Linked DNA regions of Oryctolagus cuniculus. The protein of the gene in region 1 purifies or fractionates together with the protein of each later gene. This does not show direct contact. Links are inferred from orthologs where the notes say so. Each region holds a gene or a part of one and is shown on either strand. Other genes may lie near its edges.

Evidence for each region.
Region 2: the proteins of SCLT1 (region 1) and KIZ purify together in Homo sapiens (co-immunoprecipitation; 3 studies listed by BioGRID and IntAct, counting the BioPlex papers as one, with this or other methods). This does not show direct contact. The link is inferred for Oryctolagus cuniculus from reciprocal best matches to the Homo sapiens genes SCLT1 and KIZ.

The regions. Positions count from the first base shown.
Region 1 is NC_091439.1:35,687,914-35,691,413, forward strand, and holds part of SCLT1 (sodium channel and clathrin linker 1), read left to right. Parts: intron 1-2,230; coding exon 2,231-2,366; intron 2,367-3,500. UniProt on the Homo sapiens protein: Adapter protein that links SCN10A to clathrin. Regulates SCN10A channel activity, possibly by promoting channel internalization.
Region 2 is NC_091442.1:45,686,140-45,689,639, forward strand, and holds part of KIZ (centrosomal protein kizuna), read left to right. Parts: intron 1-1,458; coding exon 1,459-1,521; intron 1,522-3,036; coding exon 3,037-3,199; intron 3,200-3,500. UniProt on the Homo sapiens protein: Centrosomal protein required for establishing a robust mitotic centrosome architecture that can endure the forces that converge on the centrosomes during spindle formation. Required for stabilizing the expanded pericentriolar material around the centriole.

The DNA.
Region 1 (3,500 bases):
TAAAGAACTTTAAAAATTACCTTTCAAGCTGAAACTGTACAAAGTGATTTTAATAATTCATGGGCGGAAATTATGATTGCTCTATAACCAAAACACTAAAAGCTAATTTATTGTTGGTTTTAAGTTTCTTGTAAATATATATAACATTTAATTTTCAGTACATTGTACTAAATAAATGTTAATCTTATGAATTTTTTCATTTCATTTTACTATTTAAAACTATAAGACTTGATAGATTATGATGTAGGTAATTATATAATGGAAGTGATAAAATATTATGTCACTCTTAAAATATCAGAGTACATGTTTCAATAACAGTTAAAAAGCAGATTCATATTAGCAATATGACATCTATTTTTAATGCAAAATATAAATTTTGCTAGAAAATACATCACAACACTAATAATGCTTTTCTCTGAGGCTTGGTATGTCTTTTCCAAAACTCTTGTTGTATGTCTGTATTGGTCATTTTTTCTCTATTAAGTAAATAATCGGAAAAATAAGTTAAATACTTAAAAATAAAACTCTTTGTATTCTTAATGCTTCTAAGTATTTTTTAAAATTAGGGAATAATTAGCGAACTCTGACCTTTAGAGAGTAATTAAAATTTGTATTTCTAAATGAATCATCTACTTTAAAATATTTGATGAATATTATATATATATATTTTTTTTATTTTTGACAGGCAGAGTGGACAGTGAGAGAGAGACAGAGAGAAAGGTCTTCCTTTGCCGTTGGTTCACCCTCCAATGGCCGCCGCGGCCGGCGCGCTGCGGCCGGCGCACTGCGCTGATCCGATGGCAGGAGCCAGGAGCCAGGTGCTTTTCCTGGTCTCCCATGGGGTGCAGGGCCCAAGCACCTGGGCCATCCTCCACTGCACTCCCTGGCCACAGCAGAGGGCTGACTTGGAAGAGGGACAACCAGGACAGAATCCGGCGCCCCGACCGGGACTAGAACCCAGTGTGCCGGCGCCGCTAGGCGGAGGATTAGCCTAGTGAGCCGCGGCGCCGGCCTGATGAATATTATATTTGATAAATATGTTCTAAAAATTAAGATGGAATTTTTTCTAGTTTCAAAGGTATTTCTCTAAGGATTTTAGCATGATGGATATTGTTTCTCTTGGATTTTCACCTTGAGTTGTGTTTATTATAAGTAATATTTTCTGCTTATGATAATATAAACAAATGTTTTCAAGTTTTTCCTGTAGTAGAAGGCTTTTTTTCCCTCTTAGATATGTGTCATTTTTAAGTTAAAACTTTTTCAGACTTTTAAATTGTACCTTTGTGTGTGAGTAAATTTTTTTAATAATAAAAAATTAGATATTTTTGATTTATTTTAATGTTAAAATTAACGACTTTAGGAATTGTGTTCAAGCTTATGCAAATAAATGCTGAAAAATAAACTTTCTAATAGTCTTGGTTTCATAACCAGTGATCATTTTGTTTGACTCTGTATATTAACTGGAACTATTAAAAAGTCAAGTGAATTTAACAAAAAGAAGTCAAATGAGTTTTTTGAAACACAGTGAAGAAAATAAATTACAAGATTTAATATACCATTTTCACTTAATTGAGTGCAACTATCATATTTAAAATTTTTTCTGAATGTCCTGTTTTTCAGTTAATTAACATAACATTTAAATTTTATCTGTGAAAATTTAAAATTTCTCTAAGGCAAATTATATTATTCTTTTTTTAAAAAAATTATTCTATTTGAAAATCAGTTACAGTAGGAGAGGGAGAGACACAGAGAGATCTTCCATCTACAGTCTCACTCTCAAAATAGCCACAACCACCAAGACTGAGCCCAGCAAAAGCCAGGATCTTTCTCTCGGTGCCCCAGAGAAGTGCAGGAGCCCAGGTACTTGGATCATCTTCAGCTGCTTTCTCAGGCATGTTACCAGGGAACCAGACTGGAAGTGGAGCAGCTGTAATTGGAACCCAGTGCCCATGTGGATGCCTGCATCTTTACCAGCTGCACTACAGCACCAGCCCCATTATATTTTCTCGAGATAATTCTGTCAACTTAATTCAATTAAGTTTGTTAAATAATTTTTTATTCATATAGTACTGTATTTAATGGTGATTAAATGTGTGTAAGATTTGAATTTACTTAAAAATGATTTTGTGTAAAGAATCACTTTTTACCCAAATATTTATTTAATTGGCCCAAACAGTAATTACTGTTACTGAAAGGAATTTTGATTGCTATTATATTGTTTATCCCAAAGGTTGCACAGTGAATTAAAGGATGCCATTGAAAAGCAATTGGAGGCCCTTCCCTTTGCTGCAGAGATAGGAAATGACATATATAAAGATGAGGAAACAGTCAAGAACCTTCAAGAACAATTGCAACTAGCCAATCAAGTGAGTGATATATGTATTTTTAAAATACATACTGTATTAGCAGAGCTTTTAAAAATCTGTTAGTCTTTATGTATGATAACAATAACAAAATTGTTAACACTTAGATTTTCTTGTATTTCAAGAATTGTAACATAACAAAACCTATATTGAATACCCTCACTGTTTATTATAAATGTATTTGTGAAATATACATTTTAAGTCAATCATAAAGCTTTTAATGTGATTTTTTCTTATAAGAATAGTTTACTGTCAAAGGAAAATTTTAAAGAAAAAATTATCAATTAACCCATGTCCATAAATTCATATTTTTAATTTTTCTTTGTTTGCTTCTAGTGCTGTTTTCTTCAGTTTTCAAAAGTTATACTATTATGTTTTTCTGAGTTGTATGCTTTTTTCTAGAATTAGTCTTTTTTTTTCCCCTCTTAGTATTTGAAATCTTTGGGAAGCTGTGTTATGTATAACACAGTTTTCAACACTACAATTTTCTGTGATTTGATAAATAAGGTGATTTGATTTTATTGAACTTTTTTTATATCTTTATATACAGAATAGCTCATTATCTGGCATGGGTTTGAATCCACATTTTACTTTCTAGGTGTTTCTAGAAAAATCTCTATATGCCTTAGTTTTCTCATTTGTAAATGAAGATTAGAATTATTATTAAAGGATATATGAAAAGTTACAGTTTTATTTCTTACAAATTTGGTTTTAGAATTCTTTACTTATGAAAGTGATATTTTAGGTGAATTATAAGGACTATATTTAGCTTGATAAGCAACATGTATTAAACACTAAATTTAAAAAGAACACATGTAAATGGAAGGAGTTTAACAATGTAAATGAGAGGGTGGACGTTTGGCCTAGCAGTTAAGATAGCAGGTAAGACACCCTCCTCCCATATCGGAGTACCTGAATTCAGTTCCCACCTCCAGTTCCTGTTCCAGCATTTTGCTGATTCAGATCCTGGAAAGCGGATGTGATGGTTCAAGTAGTTGTATCCCTACCATTCATGTGAGACTTGGATTGAATTCTCAGTTCCCAGTTTCTGTTCTACCTCAGCCCTGGATATTGCAGGATTTGAGGAGTAGCCAATAGTTGGGAACCTTACTCTCTCAATTTCTCTCTCTCTCTCTG
Region 2 (3,500 bases), on another chromosome or scaffold:
CTCAATCCATGTCTCTCACGTGGGTGACAAGGGTCCACATACTTGGACCAGCCTCTGCTGCTTTCCCAAGTGCATTAGCAGGGAGCTGGATTGGAAGTGGAGCAGCGGGATTTGATCCCACGCTCCCATGGGAGGCTGGCATTCCGGGCAGCAGCTTAACCTGCTGCTCCACAATGCTGTTCCTCTTTTATCCTTTTTAATATGTTCAGACCTCAACTGAGGAAAGAATTGTAAAGCAAAGATTCTGTGTTTAGATTTTGAACTGTATTTTCCCATTGAAAGAATTTTGGTTAAATGATGTTTCCATTTAAGATTATGTTAGCGAAAGACATTTATTTAACCTATAATGTAGCTATCAGAGTAACTTTTGGGATTTTTTTTTATAGAAAAAAATATGAAAGGAAGCAAATGAGTAATTCAGAGCTCATGCAGAGACAGTGTGGCTGGCGGCTTTTCCTCAGGAGGCGTGCCCGAGAGCCCCTTCTGCTGGAGTCCTCATCCCTGTTTCAGTCCTTCTCCCAGATACTGTGTGATTTCTCTTTGGACCATTCACTGGTGTTAGAGTCACACTTTGGCGTCCCTTAGGTGGGACTGAAGCGTCCTAGTGGAGCGCTCTGTGATTGAACCTGCCAGGGATCTCCCGTGGGGCGGTTTCACCTGCCACTTGATGTTGGCTGCTGCTGGCCCCTCTGCTGCAGTTTTCCTTGCTGCTTGTCGAGGCTGGGGTGGATGGGATAAGACAGGCTTTCTCCTCTGCCAGCATCACCTCGTCATCACAGATGTTTATCGGTGACGGCTTCTGGGAAACAGAGTCGGTAATAAATAATGACAACTTTACAAAGTTATAAAAAGAATTTCCCCAACATTCGAAGTGATAGAGTTAGTAGACATAGACCCAGCTTCATTACATGTACGTAAGGCCAACATTGCCTGTCAAAGAGCCTTTGCTAACATCCGCTTGTCTGACTGAGAACACCTGGGAAGCTCCATGTCCAGGCATGTTGGGGCCCCAGATGCCACTGACTCTGGGAGATCGGGCCATGTTGTCTGCACAAGCTTGGTTACTGCCTGTGCTTCCCCCGAAGGCAGAGGCTTGCTCACCACGGTGATCTCCAGGTTGAGAGCAGCCTCTTGCTCATCTTAGGTGCTTAAGAAAGATTTGCCGAAGGAACAAACCTACTTCCCAGCCTTCTCCTACTGTGTCTCCTTATTGACTTGGATCATCTCGTACTGTTGCTTCATATTAGAGTCTGTTTTGATTTTTAGACTTCCTTGATGACTGGTGAGTATTTCCATGGCATTGTTTCCAATGCATCTGGTGTTTTTTAGCTTCCTAGAGAGACTGGAGAGGCATTTTTCACAAAGCCCAAAGATATGATTTTGAAAGAGGTCATGGTCTAAATCTGACTGCTTATAGTTACATAATCAGTTACAAAGTGTTTTCTTTCTGTATGGTAGTGAGAAGAAGAGATTGGACCTGGAAAAGAAACTATATGAATATAATCAGTCTGATAGCTGCAGGTAAGATATGACGATGGTGACAGTTTTTGTATATATATCAGTCACATATTTAAGCCCTAATAGTGTGGTTGGAGTTCTTTTATAATTCTCTTACTTCCAATGTGTAATAATTTAAAGTAAACCCTGTAATTTAATATAATTGTCAAATTAATAATGAATTTAGTTAAAATTAGTATGGGATAAATATTTTCATTATTTAGTATTTGTTATTTCACAGGTAATATTCCAGATACTTTGCTTAAATATCTTAAAATAAGATACATATATATACATTTATATATAGAGAGAAAGAGTGAAAGAGAAGGGAGGGGCAGTGCTGTGGTGTAGTGGACTATGCGTATGCCTATGGCACCAGCATCACATACGGGCATTGGGCATTGGTTTTAGTCCTGGCTGCTCCCCTTCCAATCCAGCTCTCAGCTGGGCCTGGGAAGGCAGTGGAAGATGGCCCAAGTTCTTGGGCCCCTGCATCCACATGGGAGACCCAGAAGAAGCTCCTGGCTCCTGGCTTCAGGTCAACCCAGCCCTGGCTGTTGTGGCCATTTGGAGAGTGAACCAGCAGATGGAAGACCTCTCTCTCTGTCTCTTCCTTCCTGTCTATAACTCTAGCTCTCAAATAAATAAATAAATCTTTTTTAAAAAAAGATATATAAATTATAGTTTTGTCCTTTTGGTCACAATTTAAACACATTAACCTTGTGCAGTGATTAAGTTATAATTACTCTCATTGATGTTTTAGTAAACTGATGTAGGCAAGATTACTTGTCTCATTTGTTTATGAGTATATGAGAATGATTATTAAAACTGTTATAAACAGTGCATAATATACATGTATATTTCTAGTTTATTTAATATTAAGAGTAGATTTTTAACTTTTTTTAAAGATTCATATTTATTTATTTGAAAGTCAGAACTACAGGGAGAGAAGGAGAGATAGAGGGAGAGGAAAAGAGATCTCCCATCTGGTGGTTCAGTCCCTAGATGGTTGCAACAGACAGGGCTGAGCAGCCCAAAACCAGGAGCCAAGAGCTTCTTCCAGGTGTTCCATGTGGGTGCAGGGACCCAAGCACCTGGGCCATCTTCCTAGATTCATTAACAGGGAGCTGGTCGGAAGTGGAGCAGCCAGGACACAAACTGGCACCCATTTGGGATGCTGGTGTTGCAGGCAGCAGCTTTACCTGCCATGCCACAGTGCCAGTCCTAACTCTGCTCTTGATATCACAGTTAATTTAGAGAAATAAATCCATGTACATCTTTACTGTGTGAACATTCTAATATGGTCTTGTCTACGCTTCTCAGGAGAGTTATGCCTAGATGTGACCACTATGACACCACAGTGATTGGGCGTTAATTTTCTCTAAAAAGGTCTATACATTCTATCCGTTAGCTTTCAATGCTTTGAGTAGAATATCTTAGGAAACATTGAGTCTCTAACAGCTTTGTGAAAGAAATTCTTTTCCTTAGCTTTGTCAGACTTTAACTCCATTGTTTAAAAATCCGCTTTTATTTCCCCAGGGAGAAGCTGAAGTATGTGAAACTAAAGAAATACCTCAAGGAAATATGCGAAGCTGAGCGGAGGGCTCAGACTCGAAACAAAGAGTATCTAAAGCAGTGTGAACGTGTGCAAGCTCATGTTGGACAGTTTACCACAAACACAAAGAAGCTCCAAGACCTGAAGGTGACAGTTTATTTTGCGTATGTGGTTTTTGAAAAATTTTTTTTGCTAAATTCATCATGAATAGTAAGTTTCCAATCAGTGACAGCTACTAATATTAATAAATATTAAAAACAACTTTCTGTGAATTACCATGTGGCCAGTTTGATCAAAGAACTTGAAACTGTATTTTTTAAAAAAGATTTATTTATTGCAGCTGGGGTCATGGCATAGCAGGTGAATCTGACGACTGTGATACTGGCATTTCATGTGGGCACTGGTTCATGTCCCAGCTGCTTCACTTCTGATCCAACTCCCAACTAAT